2 linked regions of the Diceros bicornis minor genome follow. The protein of the gene in region 2 interacts with the protein of the main gene of each other region in a pairwise test. Links are inferred from orthologs where the notes say so. Each region holds a gene or a part of one and is shown on either strand. Other genes may lie near its edges. The genes, in order: HBQ1 and RFESD.

Evidence for each region.
Region 1: the proteins of RFESD (region 2) and HBQ1 interact in binary tests that used the Homo sapiens proteins (3 or more experiments, as listed by UniProt). The two-hybrid records come from large-scale screens. The link is inferred for Diceros bicornis minor from reciprocal best matches to the Homo sapiens genes RFESD and HBQ1.

The regions. Positions count from the first base shown.
Region 1 is NC_080765.1:48,124,055-48,135,200, forward strand, and holds HBQ1 (hemoglobin subunit theta-1), read right to left. Parts: upstream 4,258-11,146; coding exon 4,163-4,257; intron 4,078-4,162; coding exon 3,873-4,077; intron 3,783-3,872; coding exon 3,654-3,782; 3' UTR 3,305-3,653; downstream 1-3,304. Other genes in the region: hemoglobin subunit alpha, read right to left, coding at 6,241-6,369, 6,521-6,725, 6,969-7,063; hemoglobin subunit alpha, read right to left, coding at 10,513-10,641, 10,793-10,997.
Region 2 is NC_080740.1:21,368,477-21,381,804, forward strand, and holds the start of RFESD (Rieske domain-containing protein), read left to right. Parts: upstream 1-7,642; 5' UTR 7,643-7,716; intron 7,717-7,842; exon of another isoform or gene 7,843-8,572; intron 8,573-13,328.

The sequences.
Region 1 (11,146 bases), on a different chromosome or scaffold from region 2:
GCAACGTGGATGCCACAATGGAAAAAACATGATTAAAAAATTAATGATAAAGAAATATGGGGAAAGAAATTATGGGAAGACATATGGTTATGGTGTCAAAACACGATTGTTACTGTATTTCATATTGATGCTCACAGTTCTTTAATTTCTGCAGAACGAAAGCATAATTCTCATGCTAATCAGCTGGTGCAGATTCGTGCAACGCACAACCCAGGCTTAGCACAATGGGTCCACGAAAAGAGTGGACACTTGGGAGAACAAGCTTCATACAGGTGGGCACAACAAAGGGGAATCCTTGTCACCCATGATGATATTGCCACTGCAGTACAACAATGTCAGTTATGCCAACAGTTAAATAAACGGGGAGTTCCACACCCCTACCAAGGTCATACCCAAAAGGGATTATTTCCTGCCCATACCTGGCAAATAGATTTTATTGGACCATTGCCAAATTCTTGTGGATATACTTATGCCTGCACTGCTGTTGATACATATTCTGGTTATTTATTGGCTATGCCAGCTAAAGTGGCCACTCAACAGAGTGCCATAAAATTATTAGATATAATTAAGTTATATTATGGAACACCAAGGCAAATTCAGAGTGACAACGGTTCCCACTTTACAGGTAAGTTGATTCAAACTTATACCAGGGACAATTATATAAAATAGATTTATCATATACCTTATTACCCCCAAGCTGCAGGCCTCATAGAACAAATGAATAGATTGCTTAAACAACAATTGAAGAAACTTGGTCATGGCTCATTAAAGGGGTGGCACAACCATCTAAGTCCTCTGTCAAGGTTGTTACCAGCAAAGATTACAGAAGTGGCAGCCGCCACCCATGAGCTTATGCCCTTAACCTATTGGCTCCTGACTCAGTCTGCTAAACCGCCTTCCCTGCCACGGCCGAAGCGGCTGGATTGGATTTATCTACTGTTCATTCTATTCAATTGCCCCCTAAGAAGCAGTCTATAGTCCCTACTGGGATAGGGGTACAATTTCCCAAAAATACCTTTGGTTTGTTAAAAGGACGCTCTGGACTGGCAACAAAAGGTATTGATGTACTGGGAGGAGTTATTGACCCAGATTATCAAGGAAAAATAAAATTTATATTATATAATGATAGTGACACAGTACTAACTGTAGAGTCTAGAGAACGAGTGGGACAATTATTGGTGCTTCCCCTCCTGACCCCAAATGTGTCACAAGGACAACCTCCAAGTGAATTAACTAAAAGAAAAATGCAAAGATTTAGGTCTACAGATGGATGAAAACCTAGAACAAAGGTGTGGGTGACACATCCACCCAATGCGGCTCCGCGTGCTGCAGAAGTAGTGGCCCAAGGGCCCACTACAACGCTCATAGTTATATATCCAAGAAATAAACAATTATATCATGTTCTTAAAAATTCTGTTTCTTTGCGTAAATAGATATTCCTGCTGTGTTCGCTATGCTGTGCTGCACTTCCATGTCTGCTGCAGACCTACACACCAACTAATGTCTCCATAGGACAACCTTTGACCCTGCACTGTTAGACCAACTGCTCTACAGCAGTGGGACCTATAACTTGGACTATGAATGGCCGAGAAATTTGGTCTCAAAAACAGCAAACAACTTCGCAATATCAAATAATTTCTCTATTACCCTGCCTTCTGCTACCCTCCATGATGGGGGCTGATCTGGACTTCTACAAGCTAGTTTGTTAGGCCTAAGTGTTACCTTATCTAATGTTATCTTTGATACTATACATGATTTGCAAGATCAAGTTAATAACATTTCATATTCTAAGAGGTTGTTTGATTGGTTACCTTGGGGTCTGGGTCCTTTATTGTGAGATAGTTTTATAATTATTGTAGTCATTAGATTTTAGATTCTTGGATGTGCCTTATGTACTTGTGTACGAAGTTCATTGTCTGTGCGTATGGTGTCTTATGGTTAATGGAGACGGCCACGGCCGAATATGTCTTGACATGAGTACGGCCATGTTTGGCCGCTCCATTGACCTACAGCCACCAGCACAAAAAGAAATATAAAAGCTGCTTTCTGTGTGGTGGGAACTGGCCTTTTCCCGGGAACTGGCCTTTCTGCCACAGAGAGAGTTGCAAGTTGTAACATTTCAAGGCTCTTGGAGCGTCGTAGCCTGGAATGGACTGGCCATCTGTGCCGGGCTGAGACGATAACCAAAGAGAACAATGCACGTACACAACTACTGGGCTGGGACGTTAGCCAGGGGGCTCAGTGCACGTACGCCACTGATAACCATTTGTGCATGGAAACACTACATGCTTGCTCTGCAAACTCTGTAATTGCTTACTCTAAAAATTACTGATGATATAAAAACTGCTGGAAACTGAGCCCTGGTGAGAGTTCCACCTGTGGAGGGGACACCTTGCCCAGGACGTGTGATCCTTGCCCAGCCGCGTCTATTGACAGGACTCTCCCGGCAGTGGGGCGTGCATGCTGTGAGTAACTGATTTGATGTGAAATAATTGATTTGATGTGTAGTAAGTGATTTGATGTGTTCTCTTTTCGGTCAACCTGGTGTTTCTCTCTCCAGTTGATTTGTGTCATTTCTCTTCAGCCGATGTGGGTGTTTTCCCTTTCCAGTCGGGCTGATGTTTTTTCCCTCTTAATATTTGACCTATTTGGATCAGTTTGCAGACTGTCGCCTTTACTATCCTCTATATAATAAAATATACCTTCAGTCCATTTGTTTGGAGTGGAAAGTGTCTTTTACGTCTCCGATCGAATCCCCAAACCTCTCATAACATGGACCCACTGGGATACCCAGGAAGGTGCAGTAAGTGGAGTGTTCTTTTCTGAAGTTTCTGCAGAGACCATAATTGATTTTATGGGAAAAAATTTTAAAAAGAAAGAAGCCCTGACCTCTGTCTCCTTAGAAGTGTGGGATGTAGGCAGGGCTCCTGGCTGGTGCCCTGGCCCACCTTGTCTGCTACGGGACTGGGTGCTGGGGCAGGACCCACCTCCTTCCACCAGGTCCAGAGCCTGGCAAGTGGGGGCTTTCACCCCAAACCTCCCAGATACCCAAAGCCGCTGTGTACGGTTGTGCAGGTTGGGCCCTGCAGGTCCCCGTCCGCGCCCGCTGGGGGCGCCGTTCCCTAATGTTCTCAGAGGCCGTGCCCGCGCCGTCTGGACGCGGCCGTTGGCTCTAGGTGGGTGAGGGGCCGGCCCGGCGGTCCTAGGTTCGAGAGGAGTCCGAAGCGAGCAGCCCGGGGGAGGGTCCGGGCCTGGCCAGCTGAGACCTGCCACCCTACTTCCGAGGGGCCGGAGCTGCAGGCCTGCGCCTCGACGTGGCCGCGGCCAAGGGCAGGGTGGGTTGGGGGTTACGGTATGGGATTTAGGACCCGCTTTCCCAAACTCGCCTCGCGCCGCGGGGAGTGGGGGCGACCCGGACCTCCCCTCGACGGCCTAGCAGTGCAGCGGACATGGGCCTGGGGCGTGCCGGACCTAACAAGGGGGGTGTGCGGCTCAGGGTCTCCCAGATCCCCCCTTCCTCTGGGGGGCAGCACCCCACCCCGTGGGGCCCGAGAGGACATGCACACACACAGGCTTGCTTTCGGGGACTTTACTCAAACACTGGAACTCGCGGGAGGGGCGGCCAGGGGGTCCCGCGCCCACCGCCCCCCGGTTTAGCCACAGTCGGCGGCCAGCGCCGAGATCACGTGGCTCAGAAACCTGTCCAGCGAGGCCTGCAGGGCGGCGCTGAAGTCTCCGGGGAAGTGCCGGGCGAGCGTCACCAGCAGGCAGTGGCCCAGAAGCTGCGGAGAAAGGGGTCGTCCCGCCGGGGTCGTGCGTCCCCGCCCCGTCGTCGCGGGGAACGGCGGGCCCGGCCCGGCCTGCGGGCTCACCTGGAAGCTGGTGGGGTCCACTCGCAGCTCGTGCGCGTGCAGGCGGCGCAGAGCCGACAGGGTGCACGGCAGGTCGTCCAGGTGGTCCATGGCGAGTGTCAGCGCATCGGCCACCTTCTGGCCGTGGGCTTTGACCTGGGCAGAGCCGGGGCTCAGGTCCAGGTGGAGGAAGTAGGTCGTGGTGGAGGGGAAGCTCAGGAACATCCTGCGCGAGGAAAGAGTGAGGTGCGTCTGGGGTGCGGGTTGGGGAGGAAAGGCAGGCGAGCCCGAGGACGCGGATCTTCCCGCACCTCTCCAGGGCCTCGGTCGTGTAGACGCCGACGTTGCCACCCAGCTTCTTCCACAGCGCGCGCAGCGCCGCCCTGTCCGCCGCCGCCAGCACCATCGTGCGTCCTGGCCGCGAGCGCGAGCTCGGCGCCTGCGCCGGCGGGCCGGCGGGTCCTCCGGGGCGCCACGCCGCGGCCGGGCCGCGCCTCCGGTCGCAGAGTCTGGTCCCGAGGTGTCCGGGAGCGCTCGCCTGAGCGTCTGCTCCGACCTGGGACCTTCCCAATCACCCTGGACCTCGAGGCCCCCATTTTTGTAGTGTTTACTATATGGAAACTAATATTTAATATGTATTACTATTATTAGATAACACTGAATTTTAGCACGCATTTTGGCATTGGACGTCAGCTTATTCTGCCTCCCTCCCGAGTCTATTATGGCACTTCTCTGAGTCTATTTTCTCATTTATAGTCTAAAATGAAGGTAGTTTCTTCTTCTCAAGGTTGTTTTGGGAGTTAAATGGATAACAAATGTCAGGTGCTGGCTCATAGCGTGTGTTCCTTTTAGGACAATGGACATGTACCGAGTGCCTCGGGTGTACCCCAATAGTGACAGCTGATACCTATGCAGTGCTCATTCCATGCCAGGAACCATTCTACACCTTTCTTTTTTAATTGTGGTAAAATTCGTATAACATAAAATTTACCATCTTAGCCATTTTAAAGTGTACAATTCAGTGTCTTGAATTACATTCACAATGTTGTGCAACCATTACCACTGTCTAGTTCCCTCAGCCCCTGGCAACCACCAATCTGCTCTTCTGTCTCTGTGGATTTGCCTATTCTAGTTATTTCATATAAATATAATCAGACAATATATGGACTTTTGTGTCTAGCTTCTTTCCACGTTGTAGCACGTATCAATACTTCATTGCTTTTTATGGCCGAATACCATTCCACTGTATGGATGGGCCACATTTGTTTATCTGTCATCCGTTGATGGACACTTGGGTTGTTTCCACTTTTAGCCCAGGGCTTCATTTTTCCTAGTAATAAAATAAGGAAGACTGCCTCCTGATTGCTCATGCTGTGCCACCAGCTGTGCTAAAAGCATCACAAACTGAGGCAGGAGACCTGCCCGTCGTGTTTTTCAATGATGACTTTTGGGCCCAGAGAGGAAAGGACATTGCCTTCAGTGGGGGGCTGGACAGCTGCCAGGACCAGACACCTCAAGCCGTCACTCTGAAGCCACAGGCGCTAGGGGCCTGCTCCAGGGGGAGGAAGCATGTCAGAGTGCCGGCTCCCTGGCCCTGGCTCTCCTCTCCGATGCAGCACTGGAGGGAGTCCATGGGTCTCAGGGGTGCCAGCCTCAGGGCGGGGTAGTGGATGCTGCACTGGGCCCGAAAACCAGGCCTCCAGACCCGTGATGGCCCCAGGATGTCAGTGTCTGCAGAATGAGCGTCCTGGGAGGGGCACCAGGTGGAAGCGGTGCCTCCAGGAGATGGCCTGGCACCTGCAATTGCGCTGCTCGCTCTCAGTTTCGTCTAGACGTGCGTGTATTTGAGAGGCACTCGGGGAGGGGGGATTTCAGTGCAACTCCGAAGGAGTCTGACCTCTGTCCTCCTCACTGCCCAACTCTGGGAGGAGCCCTGGGAGAGTTCAGAGGTCCTAGGCTGGAGGCCAGCCAACCAGCAGTGCGAGCGTGTGCACGTGTGTGTGTGTGTGCATGCCATAAAATGAAACGATGAAAAACGAATTCATTATTTGAATAAACCCCTGTTGAATGTGCAAGGCTCTGGAATGAAATGCAGGAAGGGGTGAATGTACACAGCAGAGCACTCCAGGGTGACCATGGGGGGTTGCAGCACACCCCAGGCAATGGCAGCCGACTGGCTCCACTCCCTCTCTCCCCTTCCCTCTCTGTCTGCTGCTGGGAGGTCCTTGGTCCGAAGCAAGGAGACCACCCCACCCCTGGCAGTTCGCGGACACAGAGAACCAGGCGCACACAGGCTGCAGCCCACTCAGACTTTATTCAAAGATCAGGAAGAGCCCGCCCTGAGCGCAAAGGGCCCCGGGCTGGGGGCAGGGATGGCCGTGGCTCCAGCTTAACGGTATTTGGAGGTCAGCACGGTGCTCACATTGCTCAAGAACTTGTCCAGGGAGGCGTGGACTGCAGGGGTGAAATCTTGGGGGTTGTGGAGGGCCAGGGTCACTAGCAGGCAGTGGCTCAGGAGCTGCGGAGAGAGGAGCTATCAGGGGCGTCGGGGCGGGGGCGCCCGAGCTCCACCTTCTGGGACCCACGGGATTCTCTGCCCTCTAGGGGGTCCCGCTGCGCCCTCCATCCCAGGTCTCTCCCGCTCGGCCCGGCCCGGCCCGCGGGCTCACCTTGAAGTTGACGGGGTCCACACGCAGCTTGTAGGCGTGCAGGTCGCTCAGAGCCGACAAGGCGCCGGGCAGGTCGTCCAGGTGTCCCACGGCCTGGGTCAGCGCATCGCCCACCTTCTTGCCGTGGGCCTTGACCTGGGCGGAGCCGTGGCTCAGGTCGAAGTGGGGGAAGTAGGTCTTGGTGGTGGGGAAGCTCAGGAACATCCTGCGGGGAAAGGAGGGTGAGCCTGGGGGTGGGGGTGGGGGGTGGGGGAGTCCGGGGGAGGGTCCTGAACCTCGGATTCGGAAGGAGGCGCCGGCCAGGCTCTCCCCGCGACTCCGCGGTCTGACCCTGAGATCTTGGGGGTCTTTGCGCCAGCCAGGTCGGAACCCATGGGGGTGTTATTGGCAGGCTCCTGGGGCGGGTGTTGGGCCCTGGGGTCCCGGCCGGGGAAAGAAGGGTCCTCACCTCTCTAGGGCCTCTGCGCCATACTCGCCAGCGTGGCCGCCAACGTGACCCCAGGCGGTCTTCACGTTGGTCTTGTCGGTGGGAGACAGCACCATGGTGGTAGTTCCGAGTCTGTGTCAGGACCAGAAATGTGGGAGGTGGGCAGAGCGCGGGGCTTTATCTTCGCGGCGCTCGGGGCACGCCCGCCCGGGCCGCGCTCATTGGCTGGCGAAGAGCCGGGCGCGCGGCGGGGACCGGACGGCAGGGGGCGCGCGGCGGGGTCTTCGCCGGCTGCAGCGGTAGGGCTTCGCTCCCCATGGGCTGGGGGACCCGGGGTCCCCGGCCAGGAGGTTCCTCCCTCCTGCCTGCTGCATCCATCCCCCCGGAGGCGATATCCTCGGCCCCTGCCACGGGGCCGGTTGGTTGGGGTTGGGGGCGGGGGGTGGTCGGTGCGGGATCTTCCACCGTGAGAGCTTAGTGGCACCGTCATGGTCCCTGAGTGTCGCCGCCCCCATAACCAGGCTGCGCTCTCTTGGGATCGGAAGGGAGTGAGTCAGCCCCGCCGCCCGCCCTGGACCGGTCTTCGCTCCCGCGTGACTGTTTAACTTGGGCAGAATCACCGAATGAATGGGCAACGGAGTGCGCGAGGGAAGAAAGGCTTCGTCGTCGGGGCAGAGAGAGATACGCACAAGAGGTCGTTGCTCACATGGGCTCAAGAATTCCCGCCGGAAATCCCTCCTGCTGCCTTTCAGCCCCCTTTCTATCCACAAAAAATCACTGAGTGCCAGGCGGGGAGGAAAGATGGAGGGGCAGAATCCGCAGGGCTGGGTGGGCTCCTGGCTCAGGCTCCTTCCAGGGCAGTGGTTGCTGCAGCCGCAGGTCGGGGGCTCACAGAGGCGGCCTCTCCTATTCGGGACCCCTGTGTGATTCTCCCCCACTGACCAAGTGGTCCCGGTTCACAGTGACACCCCAGTCCCCCAAATTGTGCGTGACACAAGAATCGCGGGCTAACTACTGGTTGAATTGATAAATCAACTGGCTGAACCAGACCTAAGCTTTCAGCCTAGTTAGGGACACAGTCATCAAATTATCACACAAGTGCATACATGGACACAAACCGTGTGGAAAGCCCTAAGGAAGCACGGAGGGAGTGGATGAGGCGCTCAAGGGCATCATGGTTATCTGAGGATCACGGTGGGCTTCCCTGAGGAGGTGAGTCTGGAGGATGAATAAGTATTAGGTGGGGTAGGGGGGAGGCTTGTAGGGGAGCAGAGTGAGAGAAGGCCTCTGTGGCTGCAGAATGCAGGTGGGGAGATGGGGGGATGATGAGGCTGGCCAGACCCTGCAGGATGGGGGAAGGGAGGGACTCCTGGTGAAGCAGTGAGAAGGAGCAGGAATCCTTATGCAGCTCCTTAGGAGAACAACTGACAAAGGACATTAACAGAAAATTAACAGAAATACAGAAATGACCAATGCATCTGTGAAATGAGACAGAGCTGATAAAACTGGCCATAAGAAATGTAGAGGAGACACGTTTCAGTGAGAAGAGTGGGTTGCAGACAATTATCTACGGTATGGTGGTATTTTAAAAAATTATTTTATTGAGGTCACATTGGTTTATAACATTGTGTAAATTTCAGGTGTACATCATTATACTTCAGTCCCTGTATAGACTGCATCGAGCTCACCACCAATAGTTTAGTTTTTATCCATCACCATACATATGTGTTCCCCACCCCTCTGCCCTCCCCCCACCTCTTCCCTTCTTATGATGGTTTTTGTGTTTGTGTGTGTGTGAGGAAGATTGTCCCTGAGCTAATATCTATACCAATCTTCCTCTATTTTATATGTGGGACGCTGCCACAGCGTGGCCTGAAGAGCAGTGTGTGGGTCCACGCCTGGGATCTGAACCTGCAAGCCCTGGGCTGCTGAAGCAGAGTGTGCAAACTTAACCACTACGCCACTGGGATGGCCCCTCATGATGGTATTTTTGACAAATATCATGATATTTTTCACACACACAAAAAGAGTAGTTGTAGCTGTAGCTGTGTCCCCCCAGCACAGAATAGGAGCCAGCAGGCTCAGGCCCACACTGTTAACTTGGGCTTCTTCTGCAGGAGTGGGGACAGGGCATAGGGAGTCTCTCTCCCTTCTTTGAATAACACAAAAAGGGTGTGTATGTGTGAAAGAATGAGTGGATTTTAGTTTATTTCTTTCTTTTTTTTTTTTTTGGTGAGGAAGATCAGCCCTGAGCTAACATCCATGCCAATCCTCCTCTTTTGGCTGAGGAAGACCAGCTCTAAGCTAATATCTATTGCCAATCCTCCTCCTTTTTTTCCCTTTTTCTCCCCAAAGCCCCACTAGATAGTTGTATGTCATAGTTGCACATCCTTCTAGTTGTTGTATGTGGGACGCCCCCTCAGCATGGCCGGACAAGTGGTGCGTCGGTGTGCGCCCAGGATCCGAACCCTGGCTGCCAGTAGCAGAGCTCGAGCACTAACTGCTAAGCCATGGGGTGGCCCCCTAGTTTATTTCTTAAGTGTTTTTCTATGTTTAAATAAAAATGTGTTGGGCTGTGGGGCAGAGGAAGAGTGCGTGGTAGAGAGGGGGAAGCATCTCCGGCTGTTCAGGGAGGCCCATGTCCAGAAGGAAAGTGGTGTGCAGGGAGCTCGCCACCCTCCCCAAACTTTTATCTAGCGCTATGTGTTGCCCTGGAGATCTGGGCTGGGCTGGAGGCGCTGATGGTGTCTCTAAGGCGGCTGCACAGCCGGATGGGGTGTGGGAAATTCCAGCATGGAGTCCAGGGCTTCAGCACCCGGGACTGGGGCCTTTCTGAAAGCGGCTCACAGCCTGGGGCAGAACCGCTGGGAGACCCCAGGAGCCTCCAGCTAGAGAATGGGGGAGACAATTAGCTGGGGGACGCAGGGCTGGGCACGCTGTGAGCTATTGCTGTGGTCGTGACCTGCAGTAAAAAGGGAGGCGGGTGCTCCGCTAAGCGCTTCCCCAAGTGCCCCTGACAGCTGCAGCTGGCCTTGCCCTCTTCCTCCCCGACTGTCCTGGCCACCCACCACAGAGGGTTCCTGTGACCCAGGAAGGGTGCGCGGGGCTGCGACGCCTCTTCCAAGCCACCTTCCCTCTGATAGGAAGGAGGTGGAATCTCCTAGGACTTGTCCGGCGCCTGCATTTGCACAGGAGCAGCCTGTTTGTGGTTTGTTTTGATCTAGATTGTATGTTTAACAGGCATCAGTCAGCGAGACTTCAAAAGAGGGTGGCGACCTAACAAGTCCCCACTTCCCAACCCAGAGAGGAACCCAGGACAGGAGCACGGTTCAGAGCATTCCCTGAAGCATCCGCCATAGCTGCACTCCCTCCGCCCTCCCCTTCCCGCTGCTGGGAGGTCCTTGGTCCGAGGCAAGGAGACCACTCCACCCCTGGCAGTTCGCGGACACAGAGAACCAGGCGCACACAGGCTGCAGCCCACTCAGACTTTATTCAAAGATCAGGAAGAGCCCGCCCTGAGCGCAAAGGGCCCCGGGCTGGGGGCAGGGATGGCCGTGGCTCCAGCTTAACGGTATTTGGAGGTCAGCACGGTGCTCACATTGCTCAAGAACTTGTCCAGGGAGGCGTGGACGGCAGGGGTGAAATCTTGGGGGTTGTGGAGGGCCAGGGTCACTAGCAGGCAGTGGCTCAGGAGCTGCGGAGAGAGGAGCTATCAGGGGCGTCGGGGCGGGGGCGCCCGAGCTCCACCTTCTGGGACCCACGGGATTCTCTGCCCTCTAGGGGGTCCCGCTGCGCCCTCCATCCCAGGTCTCTCCCGCTCGGCCCGGCCCGGCCCGCGGGCTCACCTTGAAGTTGACGGGGTCCACACGCAGCTTGTAGGCGTGCAGGTCGCTCAGAGCCGACAAGGCGCCGGGCAGGTCGTCCAGGTGTCCCACGGCCTGGGTCAGCGCATCGCCCACCTTCTTGCCGTGGGCCTTGACCTGGGCGGAGCCGTGGCTCAGGTCGAAGTGGGGGAAGTAGGTCTTGGTGGTGGGGAAGCTCAGGAACATCCTGCGGGGAAAGGAGGGTGAGCCTGGGGGTGGGGGTGGGGGGTGGGGGAGTCCGGGGGAGGGTCCTGAACCTCGGATTCGGAAGGAGGCGCCGGCCAGGCTCTCCCCGCGACTCCGCGGTCTGACCCTGAGATCTTGGGGGTCTTTGCG
Region 2 (13,328 bases):
CTGGACGCAACTGCATGAACCTAATCAAGGCGAGAAGTCAGCTACTGTGTTCAAGACTTAAAATGCTGCTCACAAGAGCTATGGAGACCTTGACACCAGACAGAGCCCACCGTCAACACAGCACACACATGTCAGAAACACCAGGCTCAGCGGAGTGTGAGATGGGAACACATATCCCTTACCCTGTGGGTCTCATGTGAAGGGACTTCAATTAGACCAACACTCCCTGACTCTCTCCCCTGTTGGGGTGAGAGGGGCCCAACTACAAACAAAACAAACCTTTTCCATATCTGTGTTCTAAACCAACGTTTAGGTAGAAATTGAGGTTCAGACATTAAATCCTCTTGCAAGTTAAAGCCCAAAGATAACAAAATCCAAATAATCAAAGTTCAAAAATCAAAATTTCCTGCCTTGTGTGAAAAAGTTAAAGACTTCCTCCATTGCTGATTCCACGCAGTCTCTGCTGGAGAGTTCTCTGAGGCATCGCCAGCTGCACCCTCTCTCTCCCTAGAACAGGGCATTCCTTTAGGACCTCTGAGGTTCTATTTGTTCAACTCCCATTTTATGATGAGCCTCACTCTTTTCAAGAGTTCAAAGTGTTCACAGGAAGCAGAACCTTATTGCAGCACTGGCCACTCACTTACCTACCAAAGTTAGGAAACTAACCACTCCTTACCCCTAGGGCAAGGGCCAAGCAAAATTGTACATATTCCCAGAACCCAGTACTTGGTGTCGCCAAAGACTCTCTAAAATAAGCGCAGGATCTGAGAGAAGGGGAGACCTTGGTCTCAGCTTCCCCAGGGTGGCTGTCAGTTGGTCAGTGCAGGAGGTCCAAGTCTACAAGCTGTGAAGGTAAACTCAATTGGGAGAAGTCTTTTCATAAGAGGTTAATATGGGCAACATGTTTAACAAATCTGGGGGCGGAGGAAGATCCATCTATGCATTTATCTGAGACAGAGGCAAGTTTAGAAATTTGCAAAGGTAGAAGCCCCAGTCTCCAAGTGTCTTTCTCTTCTTACAGATTAAAAATCTCTTCATTGCCATTTCCACTCTGAGCCCTCGTCCTTAACTGAGCAGAGTCTCTATCTCATGCCATGGAGCTCTCCTGGAGCGTGTGTTTTCCGCCCTGTGCCTCAGTGGCTGTTTTCAGTGACTTTGGCTAAGCAATCTGCCTCCTGGTATGGTTTCTCCAGTGCCATCTTGACTCCACAGGATGGTGCGGAGTGACTGTGAGCATGCGATGTACTACACAAATCCAAGGCTAGTCCCACCATGCTTCCCTCTCCGGACCAGAATGCAAAATGGAATTTGGAGCAGCCCAGGCAGTACCATCTACCCACACCTGTCAGGGACAATTTCCAGTTAGATACTCATTGGTGCTCTGTAGCAGGGGTAGAGCTCAGCCGCCTTGCAGTTCAAATGCAGCTGAAGGTAGATCCAGGTCAGAGGTAGGGGGGAGGCTCTCTTTAAGAAGAATACAAAATAATAAATAAAAAATGAAGTATGAAAGTGAGTATTTATTTAGAATGGGCAAATGATCATGAAAAATGTAAATATAAAAAACTGAGGGGCCGGCCCAGTGGCGTAGTAGTTAGGTTCGCGAGCTCCGCAGCCCAGGGTTCGCAGGTTCGGATCCCAGGCGTGGACCTATGCACCACGCATCAAGCCGTGCTCCGGCAGCATCCCACATACAAAACTAGAGGGAGATGGGCACCGATACTAGCTCAGGGCTAATCTTCTTCAGCAAAAAGAGGAAGATTGGCAACAGATGTTAACTCAGGGCCGATCTTCCTCACACATACAAAAAAGATATAATATCAAAAATTCATTAATTAATTGCCAGACATACTTCTATAATACTTTTTATCTACAATTTTTGTCTACCTACTGTTTAGTCATCCTTTCATGCGGTAACAATTTTATGATAATATTCAGTACTAAGAGAACAGAAAGATAACTCAATCTTTCCTACAGCATAATCATTTTTTAATTGACAGGAACCATAAAACAAGCTGTTTTTAGTCCTAGTATAGGTTTATATACTTACAGACACAGGAATTCTGATAAATTCTGTTTCATATGATTCCCGTCAAGAAAGATATATGATGGATGTATAGTTTACGTGCTGTATTATTGAGCATATTCCATGTGTACTGTCAATGAGAACAGAATCCTGTGCTTACAATTTTACCAAAAGTCTGATGGTAGACAGGATTTCCCACAGATTAGTTTCTGGCTCTGTCTGTTCAAATCTCGTTTCTCCTCCAGGACTCCCATACTTCTTGTGCCAGACACCACAGCCCATGCTCACATTTTGATAGAACTCTGGCCTGCGTGTCAGCATATGAGGAGAGTCATCATAGTGGGCGGTGGGAGTATTTTTGGAAGCTGTTTCTACACTGGAACAGCCAGCAAAATTTAACTATACACATACAAATATATGCCACTAAACCCATACTAAATATATTTCTAACTCAACTACCCCTTAGCCAAATGTCCAAAATGCTTGTGTGACAGAAGGAAAGGAGACAATGGCCTTAATCCATTGAAGTTAAATCATCTTACTTTTACACATTTTATAAAAACATATGACCACTATTCCTTTCCCTCTTCTCTTTCCTTCCCGAACCATTTAGTCCTGAAGCCAGTAGGTGAGACAGAGCAGGGTGACAGAGCCCAAGGGGAGTAAATGGTAACGTTGTGGTGCAGAGAGTCTAGCTCAATCCGACTGAGAAGCAAATAGGGGGGCACCCCTACCGGGGCTCTGAGTCCAATCTCTGTGACACTACTACCAAAGATGCATAACCTGAATCTAACCATGAGGAAATGTCAGACAAACCTCAAGGGAGGCACATTCTACAAAATAAATGGCCTATAATCTTAAAAAAATATCAGTGTCATGAATGTTAAGAAAAGATTGAGGAACTGTCCCAGACAAGGAAGCTAAAGAGACGTGACAACTAAATGCAACTTGATTCTGAACTGGATTTCAGGATTAGATGGTAGAAATACCTCACTGTTAACTTCCTGATTTGGGGATTGTATTATGGTTACTTAGAAGAATGTCCTTGTTTTCAGAAAATACACACTAAAGCATCAGGGGCTGACAGCGCATCAGATTGGCAACATATTCTCAAATGGTTGTTGGGGGATAGTTTCCTGTACTACTCTCCTGTAATGTTGTGTGTTTCCAAATTACATTAAAAGGATATAAAGGATGACCATGTGAACACATTACCAAGGTCCCTCAGGACCTTGGAAAGGGCCCATGCGTGGGAGGGGAACTGAAACTTAAGTTTCATTAATTTCACTGCAGCAAATATTACCCTACCCAGTACTGTCTGAAAGGCCAATGTACCAAAAGACCTTTTTCCTATAATTTAGTTCTTGCCTTAGCTATGCCTGCTTTCCAAGGTCTTTGTGGCCTCCCTACCTCTGCTGAGATCCAATGTGGTAGAAGGAACATGTTCTGAACATTGTTCAAGGTCAAGGAGCCTGCCCCTGAGGTCCACATCACCTAAAGCCCTCTGTGCTGCCTTTGCTGGGCCCACATAGTTCCGTGCATATTTGCTAAGCCTGGCTTGGTACTAATGGCCAGTGTCTTGCTTGAGGCTCAGTTCAGACTACCTCGTGTTCACCGACCTCACCCCCTTCCCCATCCCCTACTTAAGGTCAGCTTGTGTATCATTTACTTAACACCAGGGACTTAAAGTTCTACCTGGAAGATAAAAATCAGGAGTGAGCAAAATCTCCTCTTAAAATCTCCAACCTTCACTCCCTTTTTTTGATAAGTTCAGCTGAGCCCCTTGTTTTCCTTTCTACAGATCTGTGTGCCTAAAGAGAGGGTACAGTCTGGTTCATCTTCTCAAGAGGACAGCTCTAAGGGAGAAGACAGCAGTTTGGGTACATAAATTTAATTCAGGAGACTGTTAGCATGTCCATTTGGCTGTACACTTAAGCCACCCCAATCTAGAGTTTTATCATTTAAATAAAGCTTACACTTTGATCTCTTCCTGTATTTCTCAGTTGGTTCCAAACTCAGGCAGGAAAGAAAGGTGTTATTTATTAGGTCCTCTCAAAGTCCAACACAAATAAAAGATGATGGCACCTTCTAGAGTGGTGACAACAGATAAGGAAAGAAGCAGAGTTAGAACTGACAAGTCTCAGTGCTCGATTAGGTATGGGGGGATATCACAGGGGTCCCTAAAACCACATCACGTCCAGGGATTCACTAGAAAGACTCATGTGACTCATTATCTAGTTCTTCTCATGCTAAGATTATTACAGCAATGTTGTAAGAATACACAGTTGGATCATAAGGAAAAAGGATAGACGTGGATACGGAAGAATCCACGTGCAGGCGTCCTTATGCTCTCTCCCTCTCAGGAGGGGTCACAAAGAGCTCACTCTTCCTCCAGCAACGAAGATGCAGAAGCATGCGTGCAATGTTTCCACTGAGGGAAGCTGTTAGAGACTCAGCACCCGAGGTTTTTATGGGGGGCTGCTCAGGTAGGCACCTCTACCTAGCAATGTACCAAAGTTCCAGACTGCTGGAAGGAAAGCAAGTTGTGGTCACCATAAACCATACTGTTTGTACAAACAGTTTAGGCACAGTGAGTCACTCTTATTATTTAGCAAAAGTCTTAAATCAATGTAGGACTGTTTACCAATCAAGTTCCCAGATGCCAGCCAAGGGCCCACCTCGCAAGCAGAGCTTTTTAAGGATGGCAGTCTCAGGTTAGCTATGTTAACTCTTTTCTGCACAGGAAGAGTGAAGAAAAGGGAGACATAAGTATGGCGACGGCAGTGTTGTCACCTATGGAGATGGAGGGGACAAAGGAAATATAAGTTTATGGGAAAAATTTAATATTTCAATTTTGAACACATAAAATTGGAGATAGCTATGAGATAGGTTCAACTATGCCATGTTGCAATCATAAACAACCTTAAAATTTCATCTAGAATGTCAACTGTTGTGACAGAAAAAGAGACGACTAGAGAGGTCTCATATCAGCTCTTCTACGTTTCCATCTAGCAGTGACACACCACGTTTTCACCCACAGCCCACCGGCAAAAACTAGTCACATGGCCTCAACCAACTGTAAGTGGGGCTGGGAAATGTGGGGTGGTAGATGGGGTGTTTGGTGAACACCACTGTTCCTGTCACAATATCCAGGTGGGAAGGTCACATGGGTATCCAGAACAAACGAATGTTCTGGAGACTTCCATTTAGGAGTCATAAACAGATAGACGGTATTTAAAGCCAACCTCACTTTCACGTGATCTGAATCCCAATGGCCTCATAAGGGCAATGTCATCACCATTTTCTGGTTTGAAGCAGTAGGAAATCCAGATTGGTGGATACTCTTCAAACCTCCCTGTAGTGAAACTAGCAGCACATGGTCTTCCTGAGCTCACAAGACAGACTTTGGTTTAGGATTGAGGGCAGGTTTTGAAGCTCTCTGAGGGGAAGGGCTTGGTCCCAGAAAAGGCTGTCTAGAAACAGCCTGACGCTCAGAGCAGAGGAGAGGGGCTCACAAAGGTGAGAAGGGACATTTGAAACTGTTTATGGATAGATATTGATGGGCAAGTTCACCGAGGGAAGGATGGAGTTTTCAGTGGTAGGTAACAAAAATCATGCCAGGGCTACCACTAGGTGTCACTAGCAGGAAAGGAAAGGATGAAAGAACAAATAGAGGAAGGAACAGAGGAAGATGCAAACTGGTTCCAAGGAGACAGGAGGTAGAAAGCGCCCCCAAATGGCCTCAGGTAGAACACTGTAGGAGCGGTGTCCACACTGGTTGGAACTGTTCTATTGCACAAAAAAGGAAAAAGAAAAAAGTAAAGCGACAGTAGCAATCATGAATTTTATTCTGAACTGTATGACTTTCAAATGAACTTTACGGGTTCCTGAGGTAGCTCATGCACGTGCCTGTGCCTGCGCAGGTGTGTGCATGCATTTGTCAGTGTGCATCTAGGGAGTGGAGAGAGGTAGTTTATTCTGCCCCACCACCACTAAAGTTTTCCAAGCATTTCATATGATTACATGACTAACCACATTAATACTTTAGGTAGAGATAAAAGAAAGTTTCCATTTCTCTCTCATTCTTCTTGTGTATGCATACATGCATATCCGAGGTCTTCAGTTTATTCAAAATCAGATTTAAGGTCAGTGGATCTAAGATGTGTCTTATTTCAACGCCCAAATTATACCAAAGCAAAAAAGAAGGACTTTTCATTAGAAATGGCAAACTTTATTTGGTTCTTCAATGACACAAGCTGAGGACTGCCAACACCCCACATGTGCCAATAAAATAATTTGGGATGGCTAACAGATCATGTAAATTATAATAAATCCACATATATTTTATTATCACTTTGCTAAAGCGTTGCTTTAGTTTGTGCTTGGATCAAATGGCCAAAAAGGAAATTATCCCATAAAATATTACTATCATCCCAAAACTATACTGAACAGAATAGAAATCAGAAGAAACTGGCATTGGAGGCAAATCCATTATTCTGGGCTTCTCAATCTTTAACATGTTGAGACTCATAGGAAAAAATGGCATTTATATGGCATACTGGGGTAAACGGACAAGGCTCCTGGGTTTCAGCTGCCCCGGGCCCACTGGGCCACTCTAGAATCTGAGATCAGTATGTCAGCATTTAAATATAGATTGTGGCTTTCAACCTTGAAGTCACACTGGAATCACTTAGGAAGTTAGAAAAAATGCATATTGATTCCCCCCCACTCACCCCGAGGTTTTTATTTCACTGGGCTGGGCATCAAGACTTTTTAATACTCCCAGGTGAATATAAGGTGCAGCCAGAGTTAAGAACCACTGGATTAGAAGATAGTTAAGGAAACCAAAAAACCTATCAGACTCATCTAGCTTCCAGCTCTGAACACAAGTATGGGGGGGGTCTTTTTTTTTTTTTTTTTAATTCGGAGAAGTATAAAGAGAAAAAACAAAGTTGCAAAGTTCAAAAAATGAAAGTGAAAACCCTTCATCTCCCTCAAAACAAACACTGTTAAGTTTTCTTTGTTTTTTAAGAAAAAGCTTATATTCATACCTACATATTTGTATCTCGAGATGTAATTTTTATTTACACTAAAGACAGCACACTACACATAGTATTCCATAAGTTTGCTTTTTAACATTCATTACATCATGAAATCTGCTCTTTGAGTGCATGGCTACAAAGTAATTCACATGTCCACACTGTATTTTATTTAACCATTCCCCTGCTGATGATCACTTTAGCTTTTCTCATTCTTTTGTTGCAATAGACATCTTTAAACACGGATTATATGCATCGTGATGAACTTTTGCAAATACTTTGCAAATTCCTATTTAGCTCAATTCCTAGAAGTGAGATCGCTGGGAGCATTTGAAATTTGGATAAATGTGGTGTGATCAACAAACATTTACAAATAAATTGATACCACCTACGTTTGCCAAACACACGATTAAGACTGTCACTTCGGAAGTCCTGGCAGAACGTGGTTGGTCAGCGGTCGCTGTCAGGTGGGGTCCTCAGCCTGCAGGGCCGCAGCGGCGGTCTCCGGGGGCGGCGCTCTAGGGTCACGTGGGCGGCTGCGCCCCGCCCCCCGGAGGCTCGGCGCCGCGGCCGGCGCGCCAACTCGCGCAGTAGCGTCACGCGCGGTCCGCAGCCGACCGGTCTCGCGGAGGCGGAGCGAGGGACTTGAGGAAGGTACGTTCTGTTCTCGCCGCGGGGTTGGGCGGCTGGCGCGGGGCGGGGCTCGCGGCGCCGCTGCTTCCGGCCGGGCGGCAGGCCCGGCCTCGGGCTTCCGGCGGCGGCGTTTTGGAGCGGTGGCTTTTGCTCCCGGCCTCGGTCCCGCGTTCCTTAATCGTTACTCCGCGGGGCAGGCTTCCGCCCAGTCACATGCGGCCCACCGGGCTCGTTCACCTTGGAGCGTGGGCCGCACCCTGACCTGCCGCCTCGGTGGGGCAGCCGGGCCTTCTCGGCCAGCGGTGCGGGCGTCTGCGCGCTCTGGGGCGTAAAAACCGCCCCGGTTGCTGCGGCCGCGCCGGCCCCGCTGCGCGTCTCCAGAGGTCCGCACAGCCGCGCTCACACGTGAGGTTCTCGAGTGCCGCTCCGCATAACGACCGCAGACCGTCTTCACTAAAACGTTACGTACGGCTTGAAGTCACGTCGGAGCTGGAAGGACCGCAGAGATGACAGCTAACGGGCCTGGAGCCGTCGCCGCGGTCGCGCCCGCTGCGAACGCTCGACGTGGAGGCGGCGTCTGCTCCTCCCCGCAGCGCCGTGCCGCGGCCTTCCTCGCGGGCGCGCACCCCGCCGCACAGCCCGGTTCAGCGTCCTGCCCCCAATCCTGCCCACCCGCGAGTCACACCCGGCTGAGCCCACCTGCTGGTCACAGGCTCTTAAGATCGCCCGCGATGGTAGCGGATTCCAGAGCGGCTACATGACTTTATTACCTTATTAGGGAGGTATTCCGTTTTGAACATTTGTTGACGCGACTCTTGCACATCAGCATTCCTAAATTTAAAAAAGTTGAGGACCATCATCTTTGGTGATATATATGGTGATTATCTATATATAGTGATACACATATACGCACGCACACATATACATGTGTACACACAGATGTCTTCATTTTGCCAAATGTCAAGATAGTCTACTGGCAGACCACGTGTTTTTATAAATCCGTGGCTGCTGCTTAGATGCAGTGTTAAGATTTATGTATCAGTGTCCGCAAAACTTAGGCTCATAAGATCTGGGTTTGTATCGTGACTGCTACTTTGCAGTTTGGGCAAGCTTTTGTTAAAGAGGGTCCTTTACTTAGTTTTCTCATCAGGAAAATAGGTATAATCTTTACCCATTGGCCGTTTTGTGAGGATTAATGAACTCATATATGCAAAAACCCCAAGGAGTGGCACTCACTGAAGGATAGCTAGTTTTAGCTATTATTATTCTGCCATCCAAAGAGATACAAAACAACTGTCTAAGGCATTTCTCTTCTCTGAACCTGAAAGCAAGGATGTCACCCTGGAGTTATGCATTCTGATAATGTGTACGCCAAGTCCCCAGACTTAGTGAAAGCACCTTAGTCAGTGCTCAGGAGGAGTAACAAGTTCCTGTCATTTCGTGTCTCTTTTCTCCCCAGTGTCTTATGGAAACTTATGTTTTTTTAAAAATTCAAGCTGAATGGATTCCCTATGCAGGAAAGGTGTCTTAATAGAGACTGAGAATCCATTTAGCTAATTTGTAATTTTATGTGGTGTTTGCACTTTTAAAAATCTAATTTTAGGCACAGGCCAAAAAATATTTCTTGAAGAGAACTGGGGAACAAAGCAGCTAAATTTTTCAGAAGGAAGTTTTCTTATTCTAGCCCGTAAACTGGGTAAGCCATTTAATTTTTCACTTTGTTTTTATTTAGTTAAGATTCTCCTATCTTCAAGTCCACTCAAAATAGAGATATGTGTGGGAGCATATGAATAGTGCATCAAAGTAACAGTAATTAAGGTGAACACAGTGGCTCTTATTCTTGTCTAAATGGACGGTGATGTTCACAACATTTAATTAAGAATAATAAGGGTGTTAATTTTAAATAGTCACAAGATATCATAAATAAATAGAACCACTTATGATTCATGAAGGGAACAATTATTTGAAGGATAATACTTTCCTAAGCAAAATGCAAGACTGTAATCATACTTCTCTGAAACCCTTATCGTTTAGCCCCAGCTTTCTCTGCTTATTTCTTATCAGCCCCTGCGAAGTTCACTACAGTTTTCCTCGGTTGGGCAAAGACTGTATGTTCCAAGCAACTGACTCTTGAGAGAGGATTGTTTTGGGGTCTCATTTATTTGGGAGTCAAGGAGAACTTAACTTTTGATGCTACTCCACATGTCATCTATTTTGTTACTTGCTTGATACTAGTATTTCTTTTCTAGTTTTTGCCTGGAAAAAGAAGAGAACTATTCATTTATTTCCCCCTCTAGTGCCAAGTTTTGAAATAAGCTGTACAAAATTCTCAAATAGTCCATTCATGATCTATGCACAGGCACATTCTCTGAGGATACAAAGTGCCATTTTTATCTTCTTTTTCTTGGATTTTGGATCATTTGCTACATAAACATAAAGTAGGATACAACTTAAATATTGAAAAAGAATAATTTTAAATATAAGAATTAATGTAATATTTTGAGATATTTAAGAAATTTTGTGTTTACTCTCCCCTTTTCTTTATAAATTTACCCAATATATATGTATCCATGAATAATATATGGTTTGGGTTTGCCTTTTTTTGCATTGGTAAAAATGGAAGCATACTCTGAATTTTTAATTTTTTTTCATTTAAAGTTACATTTTTAAAATTAATCCAAATTGATGTAGCTATACGTTTTTCACTGCTACACAGCATTCCATTGCATGAATATAAAAATTATCCATTCTACTGTTGATGGATTTTGAGTTGTTTCCTGTCTTTTGCTGATATAACCATTCCTGTGCATGTCTCCTCGTGTACCTGTGTACATTTCTCTGGAATATACCTAAAGTGGGATTATTGGGTCTTGAATATGTTCAGCTTTACTGGGTAGTGCCAAACTGTGCTAGCACTAATTGATGTCATCACCATCAGTGCTCCATATCCTCGCCAATACGTGGTATAATTTTTTGCCAGTTTGTTGGATAGAAAATAGTATCCCTTTTGTGCCTTTGCTTTCCATTTCTTTTACATTTTCCTACTAATGAATCTGAGCATCTTTACATGTGATTACTGGCCATTCAGATTTCCTCATCTGTGAAATGTTTGTGTCTTTTGCCCATTTTTCTTTGGTTATTTGGCATTTTCTTACTGGTTTATAGGAGTTCTTCATATATCTGAATCTTAATCTTTTGTTGGTTATATATGTTGCAAAGTCCATATTTCTTTCATTTCTTTTTCTTCAGCCTATTTCCCCCCTCTTTCAGTTCATCTGTCTGTCCCCATTTTTCTTATCATTATTGCCCCTCTGTCTGTTCTGTCACAAAATGTGATAAAGGCTGCACATCCAACACATGAAGGTAAATACTACCCTCTGAGCAATTTGTGTACTTTGAGTACCTGCCAAAATCGAGTAAAACCAGATAACTGTTGAGAGATGTAATCATCCAGCCTCCTGTCAGCCATGACTAATCCAGAAAATCTTGGCCATGGTCTTCTTTGCCTTTTCTTAAAAACACTATATTTCTGCTTTTTTTATTGTAAAATAATTTTTTTAAATAGCATATGTGGATTTTTTCCATTTTTAAAAAAAGTAGGTAAGTCGGAGCAAGGGTTAACAGTGCAAACTTAAGAGTACAAATTTGACATCTCTGTAATTTCCTAAGCTTGATTTGTATAATGCTTTCATTTATATGTTGAATTCAAAGCTCCTGCCTCTTCCTGTCAGCACACATGCCCACACACAAACATCCCTCATCCTACACCTCAGTTTCGGAGTCCAGGCTTATGTAATATCTAATAACTATCTTCCTTATGGCTCAGAGGTACCCTTCTCAAAATAGTGGTCTATAAATTTTTTCTTTCTAAAGCTCACTCCTAACATATAGAGATTTTACTTCTAAATAATAATTTCTCTGTTTTACAAACTTACTTTTTAAATGAGCCACGCTCTTTTCCTCCTAACACTTTCCAACTTCCAGTCAGTCATACAGGATTAAATAAATATTTATAAAAATTTTATATTTAAAATATAAAAAAAGAACCTGTCAGAAGGCCTGAACCCTCTTGGCACTGCCATGTAACAAATTTTCCATCTTGTTGGGAGGGGATTGTGTCTAAGCTACGTACATCAAGGTCCAAGGGCCCTTTTAAAGAAATTGAATATATGTGTTTGTATGTAAAATGTTAACCTAAGACAAGTGAAATCAAAATGGCAGGTTCCTGTTGATCTCTCGTTCATCATTCTATATAATCATTCTGTGTGACTTCCTATGAAATATGACAATATTACTGTATTGAAGAGGATGTAGATTAGGAAGGATCATCTTCCTAAGATTAGAGTATTTATTTGAAGCTGACACGTGATTTATAATTTCGTTAAATATCTTAAATTGTAGACAAGTGTATGTGTGTTAAATATGGTAAGCATTCCATGGCAAACTTGCTAATGTTTAACAGCATCTGGGTCTCTACAACTAACATGGGCTGTCACTTTCATTCACTTCCTTTCCTTTTCCAAATGTAATTCCTTATCTTGTATAAGGCAGAGCTGGAAACCTCTCAAGTTATCTGGAACTTTCTGTCACTTCCCACTCTGATGAAATATCCATAAAATGATGAAATTGTTAAAATGGAACTGAAAATGAAAATGTTGAGTAAAACCTAGCCTTACCATAACCTTTAGAGTTGTTACATATTTTGTTTTGTGTGCTTGTGTCTGACATAGACATCTATTGAGACGTTATGACTGAAGAGTTATTTGAGGTTGAAAATACACACACACCACTTTTAAGGCTGTGTGCTTAACTGTGAATTTCAAAGAATGGCTCCTAAATGTTATACAGTGATGTATATGAATCATTATTTTGATTCAAAGACTGGATCAGATCTATGTAGAGTTGACCCTTGAGCCATTTCCTGTGAACAATATTGAGAGATTTCTGGTCTTGATTTTTCCCACCTTTTAATTTCTATATTTGGCCAAAAGTATATTTAGGAGTATAATAGGAGACAAACTTTAGAAATATAGTGTAGTAATAAGAAAAAGAGAGTAGTAATAGTTATTCTAGTTGTAAGCCTTTACTTGGATGTTAACCAGTATTTGATTTCTAGGAGAGTGGAGGTTTAGGCAGTAAGTGAAGTTAGAAGGAGAAAAGAGTATAGGGTTGGCCCAGCTCTTTATGAACAACCAAAGTTTGGGGACAGAGTTTCCCAGGAAGCCCATGTTTTCTTCATATATCATTCATTGTTTAATACATAGAGGTGGCCAGCATTGGAATGGATTTTACTTCACTGCCTGCCTTTTTGGCTGGATTACCAAGTATTTGCCGTTTGAGGAGAATATAGGATAAAGAAGTGAGCAGTGAGTGAATTTCATTTGATTAGCAATGGATTGGACACTCTACTGGTCTTGCTTCTCTTCAGCCTCTCTTCCACCTGACCTCTAAATGTTGATGTGCTTCAGGAATTGTGTTAGACCCTCTTCCCTATCTATGCTCCCTTCTCCAAGTGATTCCATTGAATTCCATAACTTGAAAACTCCCAGATTCATCTCTCTAGTGATTCTCAACTCTAGTCTCGTATACCTGATCGTTGACTTGATATCTCCACCTCGATGTCTCTAAGGTAC